Tamandua tetradactyla: one gene and its partners. The protein of the gene in region 1 interacts with the protein of each later gene in a biochemical or structural test. Links are inferred from orthologs where the notes say so. Each region holds a gene or a part of one and is shown on either strand. Other genes may lie near its edges.

Region 1 (7,048 bases):
TCATTAGGAACAGACAAATGAATATTGCTTCATCATTTGTTGTTAATATGTTGAGGACATTCTCCACTATTTCAATCAAATAAGTTTCCATGTGAGAAACTTATAATTTAGGCCCAGGAAAATGTTTCTACCCCCAAGAATCAGAATAGAAAGAGCTTTTGCCTTGGCTACCACTCATGGCAGCTACGTTAACCTATGTGGTTATTCTATCATCTTCTTATGACCCCGTACCCATTCTTATAGGACAATATTTTTGACTCTTGTTTTAAATACCCAACTTTTTTTTAGCGGTTGGAAAATAATACATTTGTGGAGGGTAAGGAAGGACTTACAGCCCCAACTGCTGTGAGAGCCACCTGCAGAACACCTTCAGCTGTTGGCTCCCTCTAAGGGAGCCCTCTGGCCCTGTGCTCTTCCCAGGGCAGTCCACATCCAATGACTGGTTGAGGCGGGGCTATGAAGACCAGCCAGTCCAGCCCTAGCTGGACAACAGAACTCCCTGAGGGTTGGCTGAGCCTGTCATCAGGCTCGCATCACAGCTTGATTTCTCCCTCTGCCCACTCCTGTTTCCTTCCTCTTCCTTCCACAGTATTGATCCCAAGGGCACTTCCAAGTAAACATTCTGCACACTAACCTCTGTCATAGAGTCTGTTTCCGAAAGAACCCAACTGCAACAACATTTAACAAAATAGAAAACAGATTACGTAGTGTTATTATGGAAAGGCGTGAGGATATACAATAAATGCTTATACATACACAGGAGGCAACACAGCATTGACTCTGGAGCCAGGTTGCCTGGATTTGAATCCCATCTCTGCCACTTATTAGCTGTGTGACCTTGGGCATATCCCTCAACCTCCCTGTGCTTCAGTTTTCTCATGTGTAAAATGAGGATACTAACAGTGCTATCTCAGTGTTGTAATGTGGGTAATGCTGTTACATGGTGTTTACTACGTGCCAAGCACTGTTCTAAGTGGTTGTTAAATAGAACAAAATAAATCTGTGAGGCCAATCCCGCAGGGCCGGAGGAGCAGCTGAACGACTTCTCCCCAATTTCCAGGCACAGGCACTGGTGTAGGCTAGGGCATGTTGAAGCATGAGTGTTCACAGAAATAGGCCCAAGCACAGCTTGCCCGGGTGATGTCACGGATGTGTGCTTGTGTGGGTGCTGGGGCTACTCCCTCCCAACCTGTGTAGCTACACGTATTGCCAGTAGCACCCACGTACTCATATTTTTACTGAGCTTGGGGAAGCCCAGGCCAGCTACACCCTTTGTTGCCCTGTTTTTCTAGAACTGCCTTTGGCAGAGGGAGGCACCTGAGACCTGGGATGCTGGTCTAGAAGTTCCAGGAGGAAATGGGTCTTTGTTTCCTCATCAAGGGACCTGGCAGCAGACTCAAAGCACAGGCTCCAGGTGGCAGGGATTTCTGGAACCCCTGTGGGCCCAGCCCCAGCAGCAGAAGCAAAAGCAAAGGAGTATGGTCTGCACACTGGGAAGCATCCAGAGAATGGAGAAACAGATCTACAAAGTGCAATTCAGCCCAAGTCAGAACAGGGAAGTTTAACAAGGGCTGAAGCGTTTAAGAGGGGATCTTCTAGGGAAAACGGACAAGGTCTGGTTAGGCTGGTAGAGGGGGGGCTCCCATTCAGCCTTCACCTGCCTTCCTCCTTATCTCCTTATTCCCTACTCCCTCCCTTACTAAACTCTGCCTTCTTTCTATTTCTAAACTCCCCAAACTCTTTCTGGCCTCAGGGCCTTTGTACATGCTGTTTCCTCAGCCTGGAAGGCACTTTCCTCCAACCCAGCTCTAATAATTCCCCTGAATATTTCTAATGAATCCTAAAGAGACCTTCCCTGTCTACTTGATCTGAGGTAGGTCTCTCTAATGTTTTCTCTCACAGCCCCCTGTTCTTTTCCTTCCATCACAGTGTTTCTTAAATTAATGTCTGTGAATTCTGGGCCCCTTTGTCCTCCCAGCTTGTGGTTCTGACACCTGGCAGAGGTGTGCTCAGGTTCTGTAGTCAGGGACAGTACCTCTTTAAGCCCAAACAAGCCCAAGCTGCACCCTATGAGCAACCATGTGCTGCTGGATGCTATGTTCTGCCTCTTCTCACCCATACTGACGAACCAGCTAGCTCTATGCCCCCTGACTACTCACTGCCATGGCCTGCTTAAGCCAGGGATTCTCCTGTGAGGCAGAAACCACACAGCATCAGACTTGAGTTCAAATCCCAGGGCATCGACTTGTTTGTTATGCGGCTCAGGGCACGCCGCAGACCTTCTCTGCATCTCGGCCTCCTCAGTAAAATGACAACGATACTGTGAGATCAGAGAGTGATTGTGAGGATCAGGTGTGATCACAAGCACAGACCGTGAGTTCCTTCCCTCCTATTCTAAAGGGCCGTCGCTAGGTGGCAGTCCATCTCAGCTGCCCCATATCCTCTTGGGCCCAAGCTCCATGAAACTATTAGGACAAAGCTTTTCAACTTCATGCTGGAATTCTGAGCTTTTTAAGAGCCATATTCAAGGGAATCACAGACAAGAACAAATGCACAAAAAAAGTTACCACTACACCAAGACAAGGTCAGAGGCAGCTCCAGGCACGGCACTAGTTCTTGTACAGTTCGGTTACCAAAGTGAGCGCCCACTCTTCTAGCCTCAGTAAACCTGGAAGCTGCTGGATGCTGTACTGGGCCTCTCAGCCCTGACCACCTGCCTGGCTCGACGCGGTGCTGTGACAGGGGGCTGCTAGAGTGCAGGGACGAGTCCAGGGAACAGCTTCAGAAAGACAAAGCGTGTGATAGTCAAACCACCACAAAAAGGCCTTGTGGCTGGGGAATGGAGAGTGAAGGGAAGGAGACGAGAGGGAGGGAATGGCAGGCCTTCTGGGCCACAGCCAGGAGTGTGGTTTTTAAGTGCAATGGGAAGTGAGGGAGGGCTTCAGGCTGGACGAAGGGGAGCATGTTTTAATTTCATTTTAAAGATGAAAGCATGGGGAGAGGATGCAACAGACGGGAAGCGGGCAAGACCGAAGGTGCGCTGAGGTGGATGAAGGACACTGGGACTGCGGGACGAGAGGCCTTGCAAAGAATGCTCAGGCCTGGAGGGCGTCTTCCACCGGGCGGCTCTCGAGGACCACGCCGGCCGCAAAAGCGGGACAGGAGTGGGTCTGGTTAGCCGTGGCAAGAGAGGCCCGCCCGCCAGCCCCGCACGGCCAGAGGGGAGGAGGTGGGACAGGACTGCTGCCCATCAGCAGCCGCCGGCCAATCCGCAGACGACCCCGCCCCCACCCCTCCCCTGAGAGGGCGCACGGAGGGCCCGCCCCCGCCGCCGCCGCCGCCGCCGCCGCCGCGGGTGTGAGGCGGCCCGGCCTGGCTCCCTCCGCCGGGCATCTCGCCCAGGTAACTTGGTTTGGCCGGGCGGGCCCAGGAGGCGATCTGCACCCTCTTATCTCCTCCCCGTGGCCGCGCGGGCGGCCCTTGGCGAGTGGGGCGGGCCGTGGGGGCTGAGGAAAAGGCTGCGGCTGGGCCTGTGCGGGACGGCGGGCTGGGCGGCCTTCTGTGCCGGTGCGACTGACCGACGGGGCTGACGGCCGGGCCCTGCAGCCTGGGGGCGGGGCCGCCGTGCGGGACGGGGGCCGTTCGTGGCCGTCAGGCTGCGTGCGGGCTGCGCGTGGAGACTCGGAGGGACGACTGATTGAGTGGGAGCGGCGTGCGCGCGCCCGGGGCCATCACGCCCCGCGCCCCCGCCTGGGGCCTGTCCGGGGGTCGCTGGGCGCAGGCGCGACGGGCCGGCGGGCGGGGGTCCTCCCCACGCGCGCGCGGTCGCCTTTGTTCCCGGCGCGCGGGCCGGGGCGGGGTCTGCAGGGACGCCCCGCCCCCTCCCGCTCAGGCCCCGCCCCTCGGTCTCCGCCCGCAGGAGCCGCCGCCGAGTCCCGCTCGCCGGCCGCCGCTGCCGTCGTCGCTGCCTCTTGCTCCCGGCCGGCCGGGCCTGCGTCGCCGCCGCGCCCCTCGCTCCGGCTCTCGCAGCGGGAGCCATGGCCGGCGCGGGGTCCCCCTGCGCCAATGGCTGCGGTCCCGGCGCGCCCTCGGACGCCGAGGTGCTGCACCTCTGCCGCAGCCTCGAGGTGGGCACCGTCATGACTTTGTTCTACTCCAAGAAGTCGCAGCGACCCGAGCGGAAGACCTTTCAGGTCAAGCTGGAGACGAGGCAGATCACTTGGAGCCGCGGCGCCGACAAGATCGAGGGGGCCAGTGAGTGCGCTCCTCCGGGGGCCCGCTGCGCGCGCGGGGGCGGCGGGGAATCCGGGCCGGGCTCCGGCGCGCCCCGGCCGGCGGCTGGAACAACTCGGACAAACTTTCGGCCCTTCTCCACCCCCTCCGGTCCCCAACTCGTTTCGGGTGGTCACCGGGGGGGCGGGGGTATCCGGATCCTCGGTCACCTGACAGGACACCCCCTCCCCCAGCTGGCCGCGGCCAGCCTTTCTTCAAAAAGAGCGGTCTTAGTGAAACTGGACCATCAGGCCGGGGCTCTCATTTGTAAAGGAGCCTTTGGGTTCCCTAAGGAGAACTTAGGAAGATGTTGGGGGAGGACTGGTCTTGGAACAGAGCCAGGCTTTCTCATCCCCCTCTTGGGAGGAGGGAGGAAGGTGGTCCTGTTTGCTTTGGAAAAGCCGCAGAGAAGGCAATGGCTGCTCTTTCCTGCTGCTCCTTTTGTCCTGAAGCTGAGTTTTGGAGGCCTGTGTGGTCAGCAGACACCCAGAGCCAGGGCAGGGACTCACAGTGGGTCCAGCTCCCTTGAACTTGGGAGCACATTCCTAGGAGCTTGACCTCAAAAAAGGCCAGCCTGAGTGCCTTGGAGTCAGGTATTCTTTTCAAGAATGCTCACCCAGTTTGGAATTAGCCCTTTTTGTCCTGGGTCCGGTGGTTGCAGGGAGCTGGGAGCCAGAAGCTGTTGCTCTTGGTTTCCTGCCTCTTTCCCTTCCCAGTCCTGAGCTTGGCTGCTTTGTGCAGGTCTCTGGTGGGAGTTGGAGGATTCTGTAAAACCCCAAATCTTTGGGAGTTTTACTCTGTTTAGTATGTGCCTGTGCTGTGGCCGGATGGGCACTCTGCTCTGCCCTCCATTTCCCCACCTCCGAGTGTGGAGAGATGATGTGACTGCAACTGTAGGCTGTGGTTTGCTTCCTGCAAGGACCCCAGCCGCTCCTGTTAGAGAGCCATGTTCAGAACCAGGTCCATGTGGAGGAAGGGGGTCAGGAAGTGCCGCCCCCAAGGGAGGCTCCTCCAGACCTTCCTGGCTAGGGTGTACATGGGCTGCAGATGTGCTAGGCGATTGGGAAGAAAGAAGGAAGGTCTTGTGAGGCAGCCAGCCACAACTACAGACTCCAGATCTGACAGAGCCGCTTGAACCGTACCCCCATCTTAGCTGTCCAGTCACTGGGGGGAAGAGTTAGGGTGAGGTGGCTGTGGACCCCAAGGGGAGGAAGGACAGACACTGCCAGCTTTGGTGGTGCCCCCGTAATGTGCTAAATTTGGTGGCACTTTAAACAGTGGCTGCCCATCAGGCAGTAAGTGTAGCACGGTGGTTGGAGGTGGGCTGTGTTTGAAGCCCAAATATGAGTGTGTTCCCCAGCCAACCACTTCTCCGCACCTTAGTTTCCTCATCTGTAGAACGAGGGTATAGTATATCCATTCATATAGTGTTGCCGTGGGGATTAACTGAGATCACTGATGGAAAACATCCAGCACGGTGCCTGCCATGTGGTATATGTTTAGTGCATGGGAGCTGTTATTAATAAGCATAGTGTGGCCGCCCTCCTAGACCCTGACTGGGGAAGGTTGAGGGAGGTAGAGTGTGGCTGCAGGAGAGGATGAGCTTGCTAGGAAGGAAGGAGGTTGGGGACCAAGCTCACATTTACTTAGATCATTACCTTGAAATAGGGAGGAAATGGTTTTGCTTTGCCCCAATCCATCTCCACCCCCCACCTACCTACCACGTAGAATGGTATTTCTGCAGGGAAGGTATTTGACTATCTTTTTTCTAAGTTGGGGCCTGAGAAGTGTGGAGGGGAAGTCTAGTCCATGGTGTCTCAAGTCTTTGGGGACTGGAGGCAGAAATGTGGATTGATTACCCTATTCACCAAGGATGGGGTGGCTAGATGTGTACAGATTCAGTGATCTCATCAGGTAGCTGTGGATTTGAGAGGCCTGGAGGGGAGTAGGCAGAAGGTGTGGGAGGGGCCCCAACCCTTCATTTTGGGGGGCTCAGGTTGAAGGAGTCTGGGTAAAAAGGCTTGTAGGTTACTTGAGCAGAGCTCAGTTCTTGTCAGTGTAACCTCCCTCTGAAGCCTTGCCTTGCTTCTGCCTGTGCATTGGGTTCACCCTCTGGTGGGCTCCAATCCCTGCAGCCTCCTCTGCAGGCTCCGATGGGCTGTGCTGTGCTGACCAGAGGGCAGAGGAGAGTTGGGCTGCCAGCTCGGCCCCCTGCTACCTGGCCTCTTGCCCAGGGGCCTCAGGGGCCTGTCTTTCCCCTGCTGACCCTGCCAGGGTACCATGCAATGCCTGTGGCCTGGCCAGAGAGAGGAGCGTTTGTGTCTGTGGGCCGGAGGAGAAAGAGTGTGGTTCAGTGAAAGTGCATGACGCTCGTCTGTCAGACCTTGTCGTGTTCTAACTCCACACCCTCACTTGACCGCCTGTGAAGTGGGGCTAGCACCTGTTGATTTCTAGGGCGGGGGGTTTGGCTCAAAGGAGGAGTGGGGAAGTGCTTTGGTTGTGGTGGTGGTGTAACAGGGACCAGGTTGTTGTTTGACTTTTTTGTTGCAAATACTGACATAAGTGAATGAAAAACAATAGACTGCCTGCTGGGTTCTGTAGACTTAGTTGTGTGTTCGTGGCTAACTCTCACAAGGGTCCATCCATTTTACAGATGAGGAGATGGAAATACAGGGAGTGGAGTATGTCACAGGCGATACTGCTAGTGTGAGACAACCCTGGTGGGACCCAACTCTCCAGCTAGTGGCTGGCCAGCCAGTCCCAAGATGACTCCAAA
Region 2 (7,335 bases), on another chromosome or scaffold:
GTAGAAGCTCTTTTATTCCTTTCTCATGAAAAAGGGCACACAGGAATAAGCAGCAAGGAAGAGCAGAGTATCAGAGAGGCCAGGCTCCTTTTATCTTAGTTCCTAACACAGAGAAGTCCCTTCCCCCCACCACCACCCTTCACCAGTGGCTGGTTACTCAGTAGCTACAATGTAGTCTCGGAAACTAGCAAAGTATAGGTGAGTTTTCTACTCCTTATTATCATAATTATTCATTCCGTTTTTAACCAATCACAGATTAGGGTGGGTTGACTGCTTAATTTGCATATCTGACTGCGCTTATCTAGAGGGGATCAATTGAATAAGCTTTATGCTCTAAACACCTATCATTTTCTAGTAAACTTAATCCTTCAGTATCATATGATGACGTAATTTCGGGGGAATGTGAGCCAGGTTAGGTCTAGATTTAAAAAAAGGGGCTTCCATACTTCCTTATATGAGTGGGAGTGTAAGCTTCCCTTACAATTTAAATTAGGCCCAATAGCAGTGTGATTGGCCAACATTGAAGGATGCTTGTTTGTTGAAGCACAATTATATATACCAAAGAAGTATTACTCTTCATCCGTTTACTAAGTAAATAGATGAATTCTTCTATTTTTCTTCCTAAAAGAGGTTATACAGATGCTTAGTTACAATATATTTTAACTTGGCCAATCTAAACGGCATGATCAAGTTTAAAGAAAATCGTAAAATACAGTTTTAGAATATGCCCCTCCCCCCACAATTAAGTCTCCATCGTGTTACTATTACCATTTTAACAATTAAGTTAATAAAAGGCGTACTTAGCTGCTGTAAAGCCGCGGGGGGGGGGGGGGGGAAGAGGGCTATCACTACGTTAGTGAAACATTAGGGCCCCGGAAAAAGTTTTTTGTTGTTTTGTTTTAAATAACACTTGCTCCAATCTTTCCGAGACCTGCCACGGTAACAAAATCCTACTCTCAAGCCGAGGCACGTGGGCCCTTGTGCGTCCTTCCCGGCCCTTCCTTCCGGAGTCTGAGAACTGAAGAAACTGACTCAAGCTGGGGGCGTGCCGGTGGGCGGACCCAGCTATGTCCGCTCTCTGGAGACCGGAGCCCGAGTGTAGGAGGCGCCCGGTTACTCACGGCAGGACCCGCCGGGTCCACAGCTGTCCAAGCGCTGGAGAAGAGCCGGGTCCCCGCCCAGAGCAGAAATGTGAACTCTGCCCTGAGAAAAGGCGTCGGGTTAGTTAGTGTCTACCCCAAATACACGGTAATACGGCTCCGATGGCTTCGAAGGTTCTTCGGCACAAGAACTGAGTTCTCCATTCCCTCCGCCAAAATCGAAACCAGTATGGCAACATTAATAAGAGCACCCAGACGGTGCTGGAAAGTAGGTTACTTGGATATGAATCAAGGATTTGTGTATAATTTTCCTTTTCCTTAGGTGCCATTTTAAAAGCATATCCTTTAAGATATTTGTTTATGAAGTGCTTATATTCTGAGATAGCTTTGGATTCGCACTTCCTTTTTCCTTTATCTCAGCATAATTAGAAGCTGGATGCCATTATTCACAAAGAAACATCTTTGTGTCATTCTGTTACTTTATATTTGAAGTGCTAATTTTTTGTTTTTTTAAACTAATGGAAACTAAGATTGGCATACTAGGAAAGGGTGAAAAGGTGGGATTTCAATCAGGGGAACTGTGATTTTTATAAGCTCTTGCTGTTGGTCATCTTTTCAAGAATTCCACAGTGCCCAGTATGTTGCTGAATACACACACAAACATATCTACATATATGTGAAGAATACTACTTAAATTATAGCAGATCCATATGTTCAAACAATTCAACTGAAAGCATATGTATCTCCAGTTATTACAATTTTAGGATTGTATAAAAGCACATATATTTATAATGCCATTTTCAGTGATCTATGTATGTTTCACTCCTCACCTTAATTTACTTAACAAATTATCTTTGATACTTTCCCTTTTACCAATATCCACTTTCATTTTGACTTATTTCTTCCTGAGATAGCTACAGTTTTGGATTCCATGTAAAAACTTTCAAATATTCAACTATCAGTTTTTCTTTAGTCTTTGATTTCTTTCCTCATCACTAAATAACCATTTTTTTTATATTCCCAAAAGTTTGCCATTCCTTTTAAAGTCCTGTTAAAATATTTTATGTGCCCCTATATTATCTCCAAGCGTATATAAGTCTAAACCAGTTGAAGCATACACTGCTTAAGGGGGCACGGAAAATAAATCTTATGTGGTGCTCTAATCTTTATCTGAAATAAGTGTGCAGTCAGTATTACAGTTACATACCACTATGGCTGACTGTGGGAATCTAGTTCCATAGAGAACAGTCATTAATGAACACTTCCAAGGAAATAAACAAGAAAGCAGAGATTCTTATGTTGTTCTTTTGCTGGTAATGGATTTTCATTGGTACATCATTTTCTTATTATAAACAGGGACTATGTTGTCAAGATATGTGATATGGGCACTAGGAAAATGCAATGTGAAAAAACAATTTTTGAAAGGCAAGAAGCCAGAAATACAGGCATTATAGACAAGGCTTTTGTGGATAGAGAATACTAGCTATCTTTATTGCTAGTGAAACTTTGTGCCTAGTTTCTTTTATTAAACTTATCTCAAATGAAACAAGAAACATTCCAATGAAAAAATAGAGAAACCTGATTTTAGAAAGTTTTATCTACAAAGATATAGGAAGGCTATTTTAGAAGACCGTTCATTAAAAAATAAATTCTGAGATATAACTAAACCCTAGGATTAGAACCATATTCTACCATGAACTAGAAAGTAAGCAACATACGAGCTTGTGTTTAATTGCTTCCCAATCGTTTTATCTTAGTTTTCCTCTTCCAACTTGATTATAGGTTCCTCTCTAGAATGTGATATTTCTTTTGCATACTTCACTGTCCTTTGCTTAGTCCTGGACAATTATTGCCACTCGAATACAATACTTAAGTTCTGAGAAGTTGGGCAGTGATGTTCTATACTTGGAAGAAGAGACATAATGATCCAGTAATTAGCTCATTAAAAATATAGGTGTTTTTTGTTGTTTTGTTTTACCTCAGAGCACTTCGCAGGGACTAACTTGATAGGCAAAAAGGTCGAATCTTATCCAATCTCGCCCTTGATATTTGCTAAACTGCAGTTAGTCAATACGACAGAAAATGAAGCCATTTACCTAAATGGCATAGGCCATTTTTGAATTTTTGAAAAGCGGTGATTTAAAAAAAATCACAAATCCAGTTGTGGATAGGAGACTGGGTGTATACGCTTGGCGATGCTGTCTTGGTAGATTTCTATCACCACATGAGATCATGTGGAAAGACTGAAAGATTCTTCTTACATTTCTCACGTTTGCAGTCTAATGAGTACACTGGGAAAATGTACCACAAGGATACACGCACATACGCACTCGCGTGTGACCCGTTAGCCAAAGGAAAAGAGTTAGAAGAAACGAGGTCTATTCTAAACCGAAAAATTGGACGTCTGGCATTAACACGGAGGGGGAGGGGATGAACGTGTGACGGCTTTGATAAACGCAGCTGGCTTTGAATGGAACGAGCCAAGAGGCCTGCGTGCCCAAGAACAGATTCGTCGAGCCACGGTCATCGAGTTGAACCCCTTACAGATGGTAGGGGCTGGAAAGGCGACCCCGGGGTCTGCTGGCTTCGGTTGGATCCCTTTCCAAACCGGAGGGGCGTGAAGGACAGCGGTGGAGGAAGAGCCAGCCCCGGTAGGGATGAAGCCAGCGGAGGAAGCGGTTCCTGGGGATTGTCTACGACCTGCGAGAGGGCAAAATCGAAGAGGGGAAGCAGAATGTGGGGTAAGGGGATTTTCCAACCTCGATACCGCGTTTGCGATTAAACCAGGACTGGCAAAAGAAAAATTCTGGACGGCCACTCCCGGCCGCCCAGCTCCCCACCCTCCAGCCGGAGCGAGAGTAATTCATACAAAAGGCGGATTCGCCTCTGCTTTAGGGAATCCCAGGGGCCGTCGTAAAACTCCCACTATCCTAGAACAGAGGGATCTGTGTGTCCCCGCCCCCCACCCACTGTCTTCTCGTCGTCGTCGGGGTCCAGAGGAGCATGCGCCAGACTCTGTGTGTTCTTTGGTTGGATGAACGCACATCGCCCACGGTCCCCGAGAAGAGAGGTGGGGGAGGGGACGGCAATTGAACCGGTGCCTGGTGGAGGAGGCGCGGGGTGAACTGGGAAGCGGTGTCGTGTTTGACTCCACCCCTTTTCCCGAGGGTGGGGGAGGACCGTATATAAGTGCCGCAGTCGCCCCGAACGTTCTTTTTCGCAACGGGTTTGCCGCCAGAACACAGGTAAGTGCTGGGTGTGGCTCCCTTGGGCCGGGCCTCCTTGAACAGCTGGCAGCTGTCGCGTGCTTTTTGTTACTTATGTCTCTGTCGACCCACATTTGCGGGGTTCTTGACCCCGAATTTCGGGTTGTAAGAGGAAGAAGGTGGGAGAATTCGAGGCCTTGGATTTTCTCAGGAGCCCTTTTTATTGCTTCAGGTGAGGCCTGGCTTAGGCGCCCGGGCTGCCGCGCGCGAATCTGGCCGCTCATTCGCGTCTTTCTCGTTACGCCTCGGCCACTTGACTTAAATAAGCAGTTGGGGTATATTCTCATTGAGGTAGTTTAGTCGTTGTTGGGGCAGGACCTCGGCAAGAGTAAGGCTTTATCGGGCGCGTCGTCGGGTTCCTCGGGTTGTGTGACTGCCGCGAGGCGTGGAGGGTGGTGGAATCCAGTTGTCCCGCGCACATGTCCGGCGCGGCCTCGGCCAGCCGAGGCGGGCTCCTCGGGGCGCGGCCACCGGATGGGCGAGGGGTGAGATAATGGGGTTGGCCCAGCGGCTCCGGTGCCCAGTCTGCCCGCCCCCCCCCACACCCCCCGGAGAAGTGAGGTCGGTTTTTGCTCGGCACCAGTTGCGTGCTCGGAAAGATGGCGGCTCCTCGGCCGTGCTGTAGTGAGCTCAAAATGGAGGACGCGGCGGGTCGGCAGAGCGGGCGGGTGAGTCACCCACACAAAGAAAAAGGGCCTTTTTTCATTGTCAGACGCTGCTTCCTGTGATCCTACGGAGCAGTGGGGCATAGTCATGTCATTTCGATTGTGGCCCCTACCGCTCCGGAGGAAGGTTTCCTCAGCTTGGGGGGAGGGGATTTTCTGCAATGGAGTCACCACATTGGTGGGTGGAGACTAGTTAGGCCAGGTTGGCAATTGGAAGGTAGTTCTCCTTGGAGTTTGCCCTTTTAGTTTCCATCGCGGCTTAAGTTTCTCGGATGGTGGTTAAGAGGTGTTTTTCTCCCGCCCCCACCCCCCATTTAGGTGTCGTGAAAGCCATCACTACATCTTAAGCCAAAATGGGAAAGGAAAAGACTCATATCAACATTGTCGTTATTGGACACGTAGATTCGGGCAAGTCCACCACAACTGGCCATCTGATCTACAAATGTGGTGGAATCGACAAAAGAACCATTGAAAAATTTGAAAAGGAGGCTGCTGAGGTACTAAAGGGAAAGATGGTTAAGGGAGAATGCTAAAGTTGACTAGCTGAAACATAAGGTACCTTCTAAAAGGTTGACCAGTTAGTACATTTTTCTAAATGATCAGCAAAGACTTTCTGCGAGGCTCTTAGCTTTGTAGCTATTTTTGGAAATTAAACTAAGACCTCCAAGGGTTTGCAGTTTATAAAGTGGAATTTCAAGATGGGGTTTGATACTGTTTGAGTTAACAAGTAACCATTCTTCTATTACAGATGGGAAAGGGGTCCTTCAAGTATGCCTGGGTCTTGGATAAACTAAAAGCTGAACGTGAGCGTGGTATCACCATTGATATCTCCCTGTGGAAGTTTGAGACCAGCAAGTACTATGTGACCATCATTGATGCCCCAGGACACAGAGACTTTATTAAAAACATGATTACAGGCACATCTCAGGTTTGTAAATTTAATAACTTGGAAACATAACTGCGTTTAGAATCTCTTTCAGGGTTCAGTTTAATGAAAGCTTTCAATAATGCAAGGCCTTGATTTGTTCTGAACACTTCTGTAGCATCTAAATTCAGCTTGATAACTTTGAGGAGAACTTTGATTTAACAGGATATGACTTTTCTCAGGCTGACTGTGCTGTCCTGATTGTTGCTGCTGGTGTTGGTGAATTTGAAGCTGGTATATCTAAGAACGGGCAGACACGAGAGCATGCCCTTCTGGCTTACACGCTGGGTGTGAAACAACTAATAGTTGGTGTTAACAAAATGGATTCCACCGAACCACCTTACAGTCAGAAGAGATACGAGGAAATTGTTAAAGAAGTCAGCACCTACATTAAGAAAATTGGCTATAACCCTGACACAGTAGCATTTGTGCCAATTTCTGGTTGGAATGGTGACAACATGCTGGAGCCAAGTGCTAATGTAAGTGACTTTTTGAGAATTGTTAAAAAGCTTTGGAGTGTCTTTTGATGTCAGTAATTGGTAGTTTCTTGTTCTTAGATGCCTTGGTTCAAGGGATGGAAAGTCACCCGTAAGGATGGCAATGCCAGTGGAACCACGCTGCTTGAAGCTCTGGATTGCATCCTGCCACCCACTCGTCCAACTGACAAGCCCTTGCGTCTGCCTCTTCAGGATGTCTACAAAATTGGTGGTAAGCTGAATTTAAGATGTAACTTAAGGGGGGGGTACCCAGAATATAGTTTTCACATAAGATGTTGATAATACTTTGTATCTAGGTATTGGTACTGTGCCTGTGGGCCGAGTGGAGACTGGTGTTCTCAAACCAGGCATGGTGGTCACCTTTGCTCCAGTAAACGTTACAACTGAAGTCAAGTCTGTTGAAATGCACCATGAAGCTTTGAGTGAAGCTCTTCCTGGGGACAATGTGGGCTTCAATGTCAAGAACGTGTCTGTAAAAGATGTTCGTCGTGGCAATGTGGCTGGTGACAGCAAAAATGACCCACCAATGGAAGCAGCTGGCTTCACTGCTCAGGTAACAACACAGTTTAATTGCTACGTTTTCTTAATTGTTGCAGAGCCTGAGACTCACTAAATTAAACTTTTTTTAAAGGTGATTATCCTGAACCATCCAGGTCAAATCAGTGCTGGCTATGCACCTGTGCTGGATTGTCACACAGCTCATATTGCTTGCAAGTTTGCCGAGCTGAAGGAGAAGATTGATCGCCGTTCTGGCAAGAAGTTGGAAGATGGTCCCAAATTCCTCAAGTCTGGTGATGCTGCCATCGTTGATATGGTTCCTGGCAAGCCCATGTGTGTTGAGAGTTTCTCTGACTATCCTCCTCTGGGTAAGGATGGTTTCAG
Region 3 (7,404 bases), on another chromosome or scaffold:
TTTGAACATTGGCAGTTCTTTCAAGTGGGTTTTATGTCCCTTTGGGAAACCCTTCAACATTGTGTGCAAGTATGTGTGTGAGTTTGAGTATTTGAGGCTTGAACACTTTTTATTACTTCCTAGGGCTACAAGAAGCTCCAGGTTCCCATTATATATCTCCTGTCCCTGTCCTAGAATCGTCATTTTCCTAAGGGCTCCTGGCTCCTTTTATTGTATATTAGTACTAGAAACCAAGTTTTGGACACTACGTTTTTGCTTCTGTATTTATGGGAGAGATTCATCTTTAATTTTCCTTTCTTATCACATCTTTATCTTCTTTAGGGATTAAAGGCATGCTTGCCTCACAGATGAGTTAGGATTTGTTTCCTGTGTTTTTATTTTCTGGAAGAGTTTTCCATGTAATATCATAATTTCTTCCCTAAGTATTTAGTGGGATTTACCATTAATACTATGTAGGCCTTTATTATTTGGAAGACTATTAAATATTGATTGAATATTTAATAGATACAGATCCATTGAAGGCATCAAATTTTCTTTCTATAAGTTTTTGTAGCTTATGGCTTTCAAGGAATTGGTATATATTAACAATATTATCAATTTTGAGGTAGAGATGTTCGTAATGCACTTTTAAAAATATTTTTAATGTCAGTGGAATCACCAGTGATAATCCTTCTTCAATTGCTGAAATAGCTCATTTGTTTCTTCTCACATTTTCTTGTTTAGTCTGGATCTATAGATTTTATTTATCTTTACATAAAACTAGATTTTGATTTTGCTGTTTTATTTTTATTTTTTCCCATTTTCAATTTCATTGATTTCTGCTCCAATTTTATTTTCTTCAGCTTGCTTTACATAAATTGCTCTCCTTTTGTTTCATCACTTCAAGTTGAGTGGTTCTATCACTTTGCAAATAAAAACTCCTCTCTAGGGTGGTGTGACAGTGGCTCGGTGAAAGAATTCTCGCCTGCCAAACAGGAGACCTTGGTTCAATTCCTGGTGTCTTTTTCCGTATCCTCTTGCTCACTTTAGTTCTGCCACATATTCAGCAAAATATTCTCTTTATAAGGAACTTCCCTCTATGCCTGTTATTCCCAGCTCATAAAATGGCAGTTGTATCTCTCTAATTTCTCAGGGCAAAAAGCTAGACAGCATCTTTAATTTCTTCTTCTCCACCTCTTCTGACACCCATTACACAATGCATCATCAGTCTTATGACTTCATCTCCTGTATAATTCACCATGACACTCCAGTTCAACATTTCATCACATCCCCGGGGTGACTTCTTTCTGCATCTCCAAAGGCCTAGGCTGAGCTGTGAGTGCTGAGATGAGGAATGCCGAGCTGCTTAGCCGTGCTACCTTGTGATCTCTCATTTAAGCACCAGCCAATTAAGTCAAACGTCAATCATTGCAGCAGACAGGCCTCCTAGCCGACTGCAGATGTAATTAGCAATTAGGTACCATTGGCTTATGTCCGCAGCAACAAGACTAGGTATGCTCACCTGGCCAAGTTGACAACTGAATCTAACTAACACAATAGAATACCTAGCAGCAGTCAGAAGCAAAGGACTAGAAGGCCAAAGAGTCAAAAAAAAGGTTGTTTGTTTTATTTTGTTTTATAAGATGGTAGCTGTCATAGCATGTTCATATGCTGATGGAAATGATCCAGCAGACAGAAATATTGGTAATACAGGAAAAAGGGGGATAATTGCAGGAAAAACAGTCCCCAGGTTTTGGACTCCATACCTGGAGCATGTGGGGATGGGGTGACATTTGGCCTTAAAGAGAAGCAAAGAAACTTCATTGTAACAAGATGGAAGTCAGTACATAACGTGTGGATGGAGGTAAATGGGTCAGGTTGGTAATAGGAAGAAAAAGATGTTTTATTTTGATTACTTCTATTTTCAGATTAAATATGAACCAAAATCATCAGTTAAGAATGAGTGTTGGAAAACAGCAGAGAGCTTTCACCAATAAAGCCTCCTTTCCTTTCTGTATTTATTCAGTCAGGCAACATCCAACAGAGATGGCTCCTTATAGGACAGCTCTTTCCAGTGTTTATATGCTTGATGCTTAGCATGATGTCTAAATATTGAAGAATGTTTGGTGTTCTTACCCAGCTCTTGAGGAGTACGGATTGAAACAGCCCTAAAACCAAAGAATATGTCAGGCACAAGTTAGACATGATGACCTGCCAAGAGGAGATTCTTCTTCCCAGCGTCAGCCATTCGGAAATGGAAGTCAGCCCCCCAGAAAGGCGGGGGTACAAAGGGACAGCTTATAAGGGTTCAGGACAAGGACATTTCATAGGGTATGAGAACAGAGTTTTAGCAGGGTCTCATGACACGGGTTTGGGAATTTCTTATCAACATATCAGGGAAGCAGAGTTTCAATGATTTACAAGATAAAGGGTTTAGTATACCATCTGTACATTCTTTTCCTCCTCCTGAAGATAACTTCTTTCTGTCACGTAGGCAGCTACATGCAATGAGTTACTCTCAATATGGAGGGGGAGACCCGGCCCTGGGTCGCCACAGGTAGATATCAGCAAGCACAGGTTGGGATCTAGTTATGGAGGGTGGGGTAGTATTGATGATAATATCACTAAATGCAACTATTTAGTTCATCGAATACTTCTTAAAGGATCGAATCCGGTAATTAAGAGCTCTACCTGCCTTTTCTCATTAAATCCAAATCACGACCTGTTTGCAACTGTTTATTTATAAAAAGGAAATCAAGGATAGCGGAAAATTTGCCATCTGGAATTCAAATTTCAGAATCAGGGCCCTGAATACTTTACCTTGAGGTAAGGGAGTGATTCAATGAAAAGACCCTTTGGTCTGGGGGATAGTAAGTGAAGATGGAGACCCCCTAAATTCTATTAGCCCAGTTATCTCCCGAGAGTTTGATTCTGAGCAGAGGAAGCTTCCGTCTCAGCATGAAATCCTAGTCAAACATCCTGATTCCACTGTCACCAGAGCTTCTATTTCCAGTTCTATCAAACATGTTGCCAAGCTCACATAATTTTTGTCAGTGAAACATTCTCTAAGGTACTACATTTGAAGAAACAGTTTGCAAATTAAGCGGTCTAGGTATTTATATGTCAAAGGTGTCGCTGTTACCACTATTATGGCTAAGAGAGTGGTCTAGGTGGGGGTCAAAGCCCTCTATGTTGCATATCAATACCGAGCAGGTTTAAAGAATTTTTGCCGATCAGTGTTGGTATGGGGGAGTTTTCTGCATGAAGGTTTAACTGTTCTGGAATTATTGGGGAAAATTATTCGGGTGTCTCTGCGAGACCCAGGATTGAAGTGCCCCGGCTGCCCCCCAGGGGCACGGGTCGGGTCCGCTGGGGTCAGGCAGGGTCTCGGGCAGCCACCCGCCGGTCGCGCGGCGGCCTCTGACCTAGATCTGGGAGGGTGCCAAGGGTCCAAGTGATTCGTGGACCCGAATCACACAGTCTCTAGTGCCCTCTGTTCGTGCTCCTTCATCGCCAACCCCCTCCTTTCCAACGAGAGCACGCACTTGGAAAGCTCCGGGGAGGGTGTGCGGGAGCGCCTAGGGAGGGGACTGTGTGCCGACCTGAGTCCCAAGAAGATCCGTCGGGAACTGGGGCCGCCCCGACGGCGCGGTCAGACTCCAGGGTGGAAGGGGAGGCAGCTGTTCTCCCAGGCGGCCGTGGGGGGCAGCAGAGCGGACGGCGACAGGTGCGGAAGCCCCTCCCGGGGTGGAAATGCAAAGGCGGGCTCCAGGGTCTGTTCCCAGGCTGGAAACCACCCCCGCCCCCCAACCAAATCCCCCGGAGAGGCCCGGCCGGCGCCGGGTCTGGAGGAGGAAGCGGCCGGAGACAGTGCAATTTCACGCAGCCTCTGGGGCTCGGGTTCCTGGGCAGAGTGGATGAGTTATGGGGTATCGAGCCCGGGGAAACTGAGGTGGCCGCACATGAGGCAAAGAACGCCCTCTCCCTTCGAAAAACACACACAGAGGGAAATATTCACATTCAGGGAGAAAATCCCCAGGTGATCCAACCGGCTGGGGGAGTTGAGCGATCTGGTTAATGGGCGAGGCCAGATTTCAGAGGGCCGGGCTTTGGAGCGCTCTCCCCACCCCCATTACATTTTCCAGGATTTGGGGGGCATTTGGACTCTCAGTCTCCTCTTAGCCCAGCTCGCGAATGAAAAGTAGGATGGGAACTTCTTAGCCTGCTTGACTAAGAAGAGGGAGTCCCCAGGTTGCGGGGCACTGGGGCGCGGGGCGCTCTTGGGGCGGGCGGTCGAAGGCTCCCGCAAACCCTACTCCCGCCCCGCGCGGGAGGAGGCGCGGCCGTGACTCACCCCCTCCTCCCTGTGCGCCCTCCCTCCCACTCTTATAGACACACACACCCCTTCCCTCCCATCCGCCCCGGACTCCGGCTCCAGTTGCAATTTGCAACTTCTGCTGCCGCCGCCACTAATTCGCTGGCGGCTCAGGTGGCTCCCGCTTCGATGTCCTAGTCCAGGGGCCCTCGGGCCGGACTCGGTTGAGCTTCCCTCACTCTCCACCGGAGTCATGAGGGCCAGCGCGCCTCTGCAGGTGCTGGGCTTCTTCCTTAGCCTGGCCCGGGGCTCAGAGGTGGGCAACTCGCAGGCAGGTAAGCGGCGCCGGAGCCTTTGCAGGCTCTGGAGCTGGTGCCCCAACCGAGAGCGTGGAGCCCCTCAGGGCAGGGGCAGGGTCTCAGGCGGTGCGAGACTGGGGATGTTGGCCCCAGGTTTGCGGGGACCACCTGGGAGGCGATGGCCAAGCTCAGAGGTTAGGGTTCTCGGCGTCCGCCGGGCGGGGACGGGATTCGTGGACCAGCCCCCTACTAGCGCGTCGCCGACCCTCTAATTCGTCCCTGGTGATAGGGGCAGTACCCACGTAGTAGTTTACATTTCTGAGGGACTCTACGGGGGCAGGAGCGGGGACCTCCGTCCTGTAAGCGCCAGGAGATGGTTGGAGATGGGGACCTGCTCCCCAGCCCCTTCCCCCTGAGTTTCAGCCACCTCCAGTTTCGTTGTTTTGCCGACAGGGCGGAGCTGCGGTAGGTTTGGGGTGTGGGGTGGGGGTGGTTGTTGTTCTCTGGTGTTGGAAAAACAGGAGCGGCACCTCCTCTTCCGTGAGTTGGCCTGCCCTGGGGGGGGGGGGGTGCTGAGTTAACGAGAGGGCCAAGTCCAGGTGACATCAGGGTGAGAGGCCCAGCAGAGGCTGCCTGCCCGCTTTCCCTCAAAACAACAAAGCTGGCTGGTCTCCGCCTTGACCAACTTCTCTTTGTCAATACCCAGGTTAATTCAATATTTATTGAGCATCTACTATACACAAGGCCCTTGGCAAGAAGCTACAGAGGCAGGACTTCCAGACTCTGTTTCTCCTATTTGTCTTTTTTACCCCCAACCTAAGATCCAAGAGGACACTTCTACCACCTCCTGAGGCTCCTGTTCTGGGAGTCCTTCCCAGGCCCCACTCCTTACCCCTATTCTGTTTATTTGTGTTGAAGAGACAGAGTCTCAGATTGCTCTCTATTCCTCTCTGGACTCCCATGACATCTGAGCCCCTTTTAGGTGTCTCTGAGACCACAGATACCTGAGGGGTGCTGGAACTGGAGAAGTCCTATTGATCTCCCTTCCCCCAAGTTTCCAGCTTGGTATTTGGCAGAGCCAGGGCCCCTTCCCCAGGGTGGGAGTGGGAGAAACACCTGTGCTTCACCCACAGTTGCTGGGCCTAAATTTAGACCCTGGGATCTTGAGATTTGAACACTCCCAGCTGGTGAAGGGCGGGGGTCTGGGGATTGGAGTACGAGGAAGTAGTAAATTGACTGTATCTCTGTCCTCGGAATCTTAAACGGAACCCTGGAGTCCGAGATTCTGGCCTCTGTCTCTAGGGGAGGCAGGAGGCAGGCATGGTTGGGTCTTTTTACCCTTTATCTGGATTCTGCAGCCTCTGGGCATCCGGCCCTGTCTCAGTCCTTCTATAGCCCCTTTGTCCCTGCTGGTTGTGATGGGGGTGGGGGTTGAGGAGGGGTTGGAGATTCTTGCTGTGTCCCTCCCCCAGAGCTTTCTACCAAAGGAGGGCCTGTGACACTGCCCCTCCCCATGCCCCTGGCCTCTGGCTACAGTCCAAGGTTTTACTAACTCCAGTCCCTCTGCCCTCTCCTCAGGCTGCCTAGTTCGTCCCCAGAGGTGTTATTTATACTCTCTCCCCACCTAGGCCCTTTGCTCCCTGTTTGTGTAATATGGACTTTACCCTCAGAATGGTGGAGGACTAGAGATGTATCTCTAATACTGTAGCCTTCCAAGCATAGACACAAAGTCTTCACAAACTCATATGGGCAGGTGGGATGGATGGGGACACCTAAATACTTCCCATGGGGACACCTAAATAGTTCCTAATCAGGAAGACCCCATAGAGAGCCCTGGGCCAGCAGAGGAGGTTTGCACACGTGTGTGTGTGTGTGTGTGTGTGTGTGTGCACGCATGCATACATATGCCACTTCCTTGTGTAGAAATCTTGGCTCCTCCCTTATCTGGGGAGAAGGATTGGCGCCTTGACTTGGAAGAGGGGGTGTCCTGCCAGGAAAGGGATCGGGGTGGAGCTGTTCTAGAAATGACTAACCTTCATAGTCTTTTTCATTTCACCCAAAGGACCCTGGAGTCCCCATGCTTCTCTGGGAGTTCCTGACCTGTTTACCTCTTTGTTGGGTCTAGCTCACCCCTGCGCTTGGTGGGTAGTGTTAGGAAAGGGAAGCCCTCAAAGGTCAAGTGGTCAGACTTGGGGTGGATCTAGGGAGAGGGACTTAAGCCTCAGCCATCTCTCCCCCCACCCCCACTCCTGCCTCCCACTAAGCTGGCACTGCCTCAGGGAAGGGTGGTTGGAACAGGTGGTATCTACCTTCCCCCCCACCCCACGCACAGTCTTTCACTGAGTCAGAGGAAATAGACAGGGGTAGGGGTAGACCAAGAGTTCCAGAGCCCCTGTATCTCCCACATAGATAAGGTAAAGTGGACCCCAAGATGACATGCTTCATGTCCCTCTCCCCTAATGCAGGTAAGGATTGCCCTGTTGGAAGGCCTGGCCTCTTAATGAAACCCTTCTAACAATGAAATTGGGTAGAGGGCTTGGCGGTTCTGCTGCTGCTTCCCTTCTGGCTTCTCTGCATTTGCTGAAACTAGAAAGTATCAGGCAGAGGGAGCTGAAATGTGTTGGAATAAGGGAAAGGAGCGAGAAGGGAAGCCAGGGTTTGGGAATAGGATGGGGAGAGGGGTAGGCAACCAGCCCCTTATCTTCCTGCTTTAAAGACAAAGCTGCTATTGACACGCCCCCCTCCGTTCCGCCAAAGTCCCCTCCCCCCACCAGTGAGGTCATTTGTCTGAACCCAAGACTTGAGGGGCCG
Region 4 (7,749 bases), on another chromosome or scaffold:
TTCCAGACTGCTTGGGGAAGGCAGTTTTCTTCAACTGAGCCAATCCCCAAAGGGGACTGACAAGGGCGCGTAGTCTTCCTGCAGCACTTTGCAACTGTGGGAATAAGACTTGCATCACAGCCTCCTCCCAAAGATTAAATGAGATCATTGACATAAAACCTTTAACAGAGTACCCAGAATACAGTAAGCACACTCAGTAAATCATAGCCATTACAATTTTCATTGTTGTTTTTACTATTATTTGCCCCCCATAATAGATGGTAGAGAAACAGTGGAGATGAAGGGTCTGCCCCTGACCTCAAGAGAATTAATCCATGACAAATCGGACAATCAGACAAACAACTGCCATGCATGTAGCTGAAAGGGTGACACAAGATTTGCACGAGAGTACTTAGAAAGGACACAAGATGCAGACTAGGATGAGGGAAGGGATGCCAAAGACTTGAAGACCAAGAGGAGTCAGGCCAAGGGAGTGGGAGGTAGATGGGGGTGGGAGAGAAGGTACCCAGGTGGAGGAAGAAGCGTGTGTGGAGGCAAAAGAAAGCGCAGGGTGTGCATGATTTAATTCAGCAGGGTGGGTACATAGTGAACACTGGGGATGGGGGTGGAGGGGGGAAGGACCTGGGTACACCAGGCCAAGGAGTTTGGACTTTGGTATACAGAATGCAACCAGGAGCCATCAAAGGATCTACTCAGAGAAAGGACACCACCCATTTTGCGCTTGAAAAAGGTCACTGTGGCTTCCTTGTGGGTCATGGAGGGGAGATGAACAAGACTTGAGGCTGGAGACCCATTAGGAGGCTGCTGCTGGAATCCAGATGAGAGATGAGGGTGAACTGGGCCAGGCTGGTGGCAATGAAGATAGAGGAGAATTGACAGAGTCAAGGAACATTTAAGAGGTGGAGTCTACAGACTTGGTGATGATTGGATAGTAGGAGAGAAGAAGGAATCCAGGGTGAAGCTCAGGCTGGGAAAATAAACTTCAGAAATCTTGGGGAATGTGTACCCTAAGACTGGAGAAATTGCTACTTTGATTTAAATATATATATATATAACATAGTGTGATGGTTAGGATTATTTGTCAAGTTGGCCAGATGATGACGCCCAGTTGTCTGGTCAAGCAAGCACTGGCCTAACTATTACTACAAGGATATTTTGTGGACTGAAATTATCAGTCAGTTGATTGCACCTATGGCTGATTACATCTTTGATCAACTAAGGGGGGTGTCTTCCCCAATTGGAGAATCCAATCAGCTGGATTTAATTCAGTCAGTTGGGGGGCTATTAAGGGAGAGGTGAGACTTCAGCAGTCAGAAGAGAGAACTTTTATCTCTACCTCAGCCAGCCAGCCTCTCCTGGAGAATTCATTGAAAACCTTCATCAGAATTGCCAGTTTGCAACCTGCCCTATGGAATTTGGATTCCTGCATCCCCACAGTTGTGTGAGATACTTTGTAAAATCTCATATTTACAGATATCTCCTGTTGGTTCTGTTTCCCAAGAGAACCCTGACTAATACACATAGTATATAATGGATACTATATAATGTAATAAATAACATAAACACACAAAGTAGACTATACATTCCCTAAAGGGAAGAGACCATGGTATGTATTCAATAAAAGTAATCTGGTTTGTTAGTTATCTGAATTACCAAATTTTGTAAAATAACCCAACTATTTTGTATTCAATTTTACCTTTCTTAGATGGATGTGAAGGTACTTTGCATTCATCATTGTGAATATTTACTTGTCTTGTGGAACTTTATAGCTATAAAGGACTAAGCTAAATTAGGGCTACCCCAAGGCATGCTGGATGGACTTTTGGAATCATTAACTGATATCATCTCATTCACTTAAGCATTTATTAAGCAACTTTGATATGCCAGGCACTAGGTCCTGATGATACCAAGAAGAATAAAAGCCAGTTCCTGCTCTCAAGGAGCTCACAGTACAACAGAAGACACAGAAAAAGAAAACAATTCCTGACTTTTTAACAGGCATACGACAGAGAACTACACAGAGTGATTCTGGGAAAGGCAATACCCTTAGACTGGCAATATCAGCGTGTTTTTTGTTTTTGTTTTTTGGGGTTTTTTCCCCCACGAAAATAGAAGAAATTCTAGTTACTCAAGCTTTGGAGTTAGTTGATTTGATATGTAATCCCTCAGATTATTCCATAAAACAAACAATACCGTGTTCCCTTTCTCTCTGTAAAATAACTTACCAAGTATATTGTGGTCAATAAGCAATACAGTAAGTTCTTCCAGGAGAGACAGGATGGAAAGCAGGACTCTGTCTCATTTGGTGGCAAGAAACCCTCTAACCAAGTCTCCCCATGTAACTCATCTGGTTACATCTTTCTGAACTCTGGAGCAGTGGCTAAAGCTGATGGGAAAATCTGAGCAAAAGTCAAGACTCACTGTCTGGAACTCGGTGAAGAAATACCCAAGTTTTATTCTTTTTTCTGGTCTGTGTATCTGAGGCCTCCCATTGAGGCTATGTCACAGGCTTCTGGATTAAGACAGAGGTTACTCTTACCAGTGAGAAATTCTACAAGAAATCTGTAATAAAGCATAGCCTGAAGAAACTTCTAACCAGCTTTTAAGACTCAGGGCTCTGTTTTAGACAAATCCATAAGTCCCTCGTGGCACACAACCCTCAGAAGCAATTAGGTTAGTTCCAGAGAAACTTGCTTCCTCCCTGCTTCTGTCTAGCAAAAGAAGAAAAGGAAAGGAAAAAAAAGATCAGCAAAGAATGCCGTCAGTACTTAAACTCACACTGTAGTGGAAAGTAAATTGAGCAAAGGAAATAGGAATAAAAACTCACTTTGGATTCCTCTTCAATGAACATCAACATTTACTGAATATGGATTCTGGACCCAGCCTTGTGCTCAGGGCTTCAGATATGAAGACACATTAGACACCACGAGTGACATGAGGGTCCAGGGCCTTCAACAGTAATATTTCTCATGGTAAATCAGTGCATGGCATTCGGGTTTATACATCAGTCTCTTGTATGTTTGGTGAGCCGACACAGTCCTTGTAGTCTAAATCACCTGCATGTTTTCACAAAATTGAATTTTGGGACTTCAAAGCTGCTAAGTATACCTTTGTAAGTGGTGATCATTCCACTGGAAATGATTGATAGGCCTTCCTAGCTCTAGAAGGAGTGAGCTAAGCATAGGGAGAGGCAAGGGGGTCTCTTAGAGTTCCAGGATATTCTCTGAATCTGAGTTGGAAAATTGGGCCTAACATTAGTCCAAAAAAGCTTCCCAGTGAATGAGTCTGCATGCCCAAAGATATAAAATGGAACCTCCCAAACATTCTCTTTTCTGGGCAAAGACCTCCCAGGTGACTCAGGGTGCTTAGTTGAGGTTACAAATGCAACCACCTTTTAATCAACCGAACAAATCTTTTTACTGGTAAAAAAGATTTGGCCCCTACTTCCCAAATAGAGGTCACAATTTGCAATTTTATCTTTCAATCTGGTAGCAAAAACCAAACTCTACTTTAAAAAAATAATAAATTAGAGGGACCAGGATGGTGGAGGGGTGGGGAATAGGTAATTAAGGCTTGGGTACAGCTCCTGTTAGGGTGATGTCAAGATTTTGGCAAGGGACAGTAGTGATGGTAGCACAACATTGTGAATGTAATTAACACCACTGTATTGTATACTTGAAAGCGGTTAAAGTGGAAAATGTTGGGTACATGTTACCACAATTTTTTATATGTGACTTTTCTTTAGAATTGTTCACTGCAATGAGAGTTTCTGTATTTGAGACATAAGATTCAAAGAGAATAAAACCATGGTTTTTCCTTCTTCAGGTTTCAAAAAAGAAGGCAGGTGAGTTTCCATGGCACTTACATTTTCTGCCTGACTTTGTTGATGGTGTCAGAGCAGTCTTCCAGAACTCCTCCCTATCAGTCCCCGGGCCCCAGGAAAGCACATGATTTTCCTAATATCAGTGTATTGGGGCGGGGGGCAGCGGGGGGGAGTGAGAGAACTGTAGCTAAAAACCACCCAGAAGGTTCACAATGCCTTCGTTTCTATACGAAGGTGGGGCAGCCGCCACGCAGCGCGGACTCCCACCCCTGCGAGGAACACCCACGCGGCGCAAAGCAGTCTGAAAACCGAAACCGGTCCTGGGGACACCGGAGGACGCCCCCGGGCGGGGCCCGCGGACCCAGCTGACCACCAGCAGGCGAATGTCGCGAAGGCGTCGTCGCTCACCCCCGGGCGACCTCTGCCGGGCAGCCCCAAGGAGGGAAAAGAGGAGGAAGGAGGGCTCCGGGTGGGAGGAGGGGCGGCCGGCCCCCCCCCAGGCCCCGCCCCGAGGCCCCGCCCCGCCGCGCCACGCCGCGCCATGATTAGAGCCGATGACTCAGGGCGGAGCTCCGCATCCAACCCGCGGGCGCCGCCAAGTTCTCTGGATGGGACCAGAAGTTTCTACCCGGCCAGTTGCTACGTCCCTTTATCTCCTCCTTCCCCTTTGGCAGTGAGGAAGCTATTTCCAGACCCTTCCACCCCTCTCAGGCCACGTCACCCCCTCCTTTAATTCATAAAGGTGCCCGGCGCCGGCTTCCCGGACACGTCGGCGGCGCGCAAGGCTCACACTCCGGCGGCGGCGAGGTCCTCGCAGCGGCGGCCCAGCGACTCGGCGCCCAGGAGGCCGGCACCCCGCGACCCGGGATCCCGCGCCCCAGCCCTCGGGGACCCCGCACTCCGCGCTCCGGCGGCCGCCACTCCGAGCCAACCCCGCGCCCAGCATGAGCGCAGCCACCCACTCGCCCATGGTGCAGATGGCGTCCGGCAACAGCGCCGGCGACCGCGACCCGCTGCCTCCGGGCTGGGAGATCAAGATCGACCCGCAGACCGGCTGGCCCTTCTTCGTGGACCACAACAGCCGCACCACGACGTGGAACGACCCGCGCGTGCCCCCCGAGGGCCCCAAGGTGAGCCGGACCCGCGCCACGCCCCGGCCGGCGGCCCCACCTCGACGGGGGAACAGGCCCGGCCCGGCGGCGGCTGGACTGGGTTGGGCGAGCGCGGGGCTGGCCCCAGCTCCCAGGTCCCTGCACCGGGGGTCGGGGCATCCCACCCCGAGCTCGCCCTGCTGCGCTTGGCCAGGCCTTGAGAGGCGTGGGGGTGACGGAGTGCCCCGGAGAGGTCAGTCCTCACCGCGCCGCGTTTGATTTTGCGAGGGGATTGAGGGGGACGGGGAAGTGCGACCCGGGACGGGGTGGAGGCATGGGCGTCAAGAGCTGTCCCCAAGTTCCCGGGCTCGGAAGGGGCGGCGGGCCTGGTCAGCGGGAGGCCTGGGCCCGGCCCTGCCGCCGGCTCTGCTCCGCGTCCTGAGATAGTCGTTACTGGAAGGTTCTCTCATCCGCCGACCCCTGGTGCCTGGGGGATGGGCTTTTCCGAATTTCCCCCTCTACTTCTGGACAACTTGGTTGACAGTTATTTTGACCTTACTCTCCCGGTTCGCGGACAGAGTGACTCAGGACGCTGATATAAGTAGTCTCTTTTTTTTTCTTTTTAAAATTACTGTTGTATCGTTGTTTGAGGATTTTTTTGAGTAACATTGAGTTTCAGTGTGATTTGTTAAAAACAAGATGCTGTTCTTCCAGGCAGTTGGCCCTTCCCTTAAGACTTCGCCTCAACTGGAGAGAAAGAGAATGATGATTTTTGTTTGTTTTAATGGTATGTGTTCCCTTCCTTGTAATGGCATTAAAATATTTAGGATTTGTTTCCCATACACAAATAACTAAGTAATAATACTTATATACAGCAGAAATATGCTTCATCTAAATACATGTAAGAGTATTTACTTCTTAACCCTTAGAAGCATGACAGTTTTTATACATTTGGTAATTTAAAAAATTATAATTAGTTGTATTGAAACAATTTTCTACAAATTAAAATTTTTCAAAATAGAACGTTTGCAAAAAATAGTGTACTTAAAGGGTAACTTAATATTGTCTGTGCAAAATAAAAGCAGTAGAAACTGGTAAATTATTTTGAAGATTTAAAAAGTCACAGTTAAATATGCTTTGCAAGGCTTTATTTTAGAAGAAAGACCTTTATGATGTTCTGCACCTTTTTCCTTTAAAATATTGGTAAAACTCTCGTGTCCAAAAGTGATGTATCTTACACTCAGCAGTTTACATTTACAAGGAGTTAATTGCATCTTTATTTCTGAAAATTAGATCTAGAAGGTGTAATTAGCTGGGTTGGACATAATTATATGCACCTTTTTGTGTGTTCTCCCTGTAGAGATGGGCTTGTTAGAAGCTGCTGGCACCCTTTGTTTTCAGTGAAGATCAGGTTTAAACAAACACTGGGAGTTCAGTATGAGACCCAAATTGCCAGCACTTTGTTTTCAACATGGAACTTTCTCAGGGAGTTGGATTGCTTGCTGCTTTGCTTCCCGTACCCGCCGGGTGGATGGGTTAGGCTGTAGTTTCATAAAACTTCTTGAGGAGAAGAAACAGACCGAATTACAATAATTACTTTAAAAAATACATATAGAAAGTAAGAGCTACTAAATCAGAAGTCTGATCCTGGGAAAGGTTAAATACAATGTAAAATGCACAGTGAGCAAAGGGCCCCAGCTAAGAGGACATTCCAAGCATCCTCACCTTTAAGAGGAAGTGTTGTCAATCAGAAGCTATTCCTTGAGCATCTGCAATTTGGGAAGTACTTTTTCTGCAAGGACTCAGCTTCAGGATGTTTAGGGTCTAACCGTGTTGGTAAAGAGGTGGCTTTCATGGAAGGAAAAGACTAGAACTTAGTGTTTTATTTAGTCATTTATACTCCATCTTCTCACAGCTGACTGTACCACCTTCCCCTGAAGTGGTTAGAGTGATTCTTTCACCCCCGTTTTTCAGAGGAGGCAGTGGAGGTCTGTTTTACCCTTCATTGCAGAGCCGGGAAGGTTCGAGACAAAGGTGTTGAGTTTTATCCACCTCCATTGTAAGCTGTGGCACCTCCCCACCTGCAGTTTTCTGGATTTCAGTTTTCTACACGCTTGGGCTTCCCACGAACTGCCTGACAAGTTCCTATCAATCCAGACCCCTTTCCTGGCAGAGAGGTTGGCATTTGCTTAGGAATCAGGAAACCACTCTTTCCTGGTCTCCTCCCTGAATAAAACAGGTTGGGTATCTTGGAGTATCGTGCACAAACCTCTGGCAGGAGAAAGAGACCCTCCTCTCTCAAGGACCAGTGCTGCGAATCTCCAAATCTTAGAGGTCGTGAGCACTGATTTCCAAGCCTGGCTGTGTCTGGGGGAGCCTTTTAAGAACACAGATTGCCTGCTGCGTCATCAGCCCCACCCTGCTCCCCCCATCTCATCCCTCCAACATGTTTAATCTGAATTGTTCAGGGTGGGGCTCAAGAATCTCTGAATTTAAAATGCCTCCCTCAGGTTTCTGTTTACCACCCTGGCAACAGGGAGCCCCTGAAGGACTGTGATCCCCGTTTTGTAGAAGAAGCTGCTGCTTACTGTGCCCCTGTCTGTAGACCCTGGGCTCCTTCCCAAGCAGTACCTGCTTAATATCTCCCCGGCAGAGCTTTGCTTGGCGCCGCTTTTCTTGGTGAAACTCGCCCAGTGCCTGGTGTAAGGCTTTGGTGGGTGTGAGTATGCAGGAGGCGTGGTGAGGGAAGGAAGACAGCACCCCACAGAGTCTGGCAGGGTGGCTGTGCTGGGCATAGGGAAGTGATCAGACAAGATGTGGCATTGTCCCAAGATC

Evidence for each region.
Region 2: the proteins of PLCG1 (region 1) and EEF1A1 form a complex in vitro, tested with the Homo sapiens proteins (2 studies listed by BioGRID, with this or other methods). The link is inferred for Tamandua tetradactyla from reciprocal best matches to the Homo sapiens genes PLCG1 and EEF1A1.
Region 3: the proteins of PLCG1 (region 1) and ERBB3 form a complex in vitro, tested with the Homo sapiens proteins (2 studies listed by BioGRID and IntAct, with this or other methods). The link is inferred for Tamandua tetradactyla from reciprocal best matches to the Homo sapiens genes PLCG1 and ERBB3.
Region 4: the proteins of PLCG1 (region 1) and BAG3 form a complex in vitro, tested with the Homo sapiens proteins (2 studies listed by BioGRID). The link is inferred for Tamandua tetradactyla from reciprocal best matches to the Homo sapiens genes PLCG1 and BAG3.

What each region holds. Positions count from the first base shown.
Region 1 is NC_135327.1:11,016,362-11,023,409, reverse strand, and holds the start of PLCG1 (1-phosphatidylinositol 4,5-bisphosphate phosphodiesterase gamma-1), read left to right. Parts: upstream 1-4,037; coding exon 4,038-4,254; intron 4,255-7,048. UniProt on the Homo sapiens protein: Mediates the production of the second messenger molecules diacylglycerol (DAG) and inositol 1,4,5-trisphosphate (IP3). Plays an important role in the regulation of intracellular signaling cascades.
Region 2 is NC_135331.1:129,525,701-129,533,035, reverse strand, and holds the start of EEF1A1 (elongation factor 1-alpha 1), read left to right. Parts: upstream 1-4,322; 5' UTR 4,323-4,345; intron 4,346-5,349; 5' UTR 5,350-5,384; coding exon 5,385-5,528; intron 5,529-5,779; coding exon 5,780-5,959; intron 5,960-6,138; coding exon 6,139-6,435; intron 6,436-6,513; coding exon 6,514-6,664; intron 6,665-6,749; coding exon 6,750-7,006; intron 7,007-7,084; coding exon 7,085-7,319; intron 7,320-7,335. UniProt on the Homo sapiens protein: Translation elongation factor that catalyzes the GTP-dependent binding of aminoacyl-tRNA (aa-tRNA) to the A-site of ribosomes during the elongation phase of protein synthesis.
Region 3 is NC_135333.1:123,144,778-123,152,181, forward strand, and holds the start of ERBB3 (receptor tyrosine-protein kinase erbB-3), read left to right. Parts: upstream 1-4,394; 5' UTR 4,395-4,547; coding exon 4,548-4,629; intron 4,630-7,404. UniProt on the Homo sapiens protein: Tyrosine-protein kinase that plays an essential role as cell surface receptor for neuregulins.
Region 4 is NC_135339.1:82,090,717-82,098,465, forward strand, and holds the start of BAG3 (BAG family molecular chaperone regulator 3), read left to right. Parts: upstream 1-4,731; 5' UTR 4,732-4,767; coding exon 4,768-4,953; intron 4,954-5,126; exon of another isoform or gene 5,127-5,167; intron 5,168-5,201; exon of another isoform or gene 5,202-5,698; coding exon of another isoform or gene 5,699-5,701; intron 5,702-7,749. UniProt on the Homo sapiens protein: Co-chaperone and adapter protein that connects different classes of molecular chaperones including heat shock proteins 70 (HSP70s), e.g. HSPA1A/HSP70 or HSPA8/HSC70, and small heat shock proteins (sHSPs), e.g. HSPB8.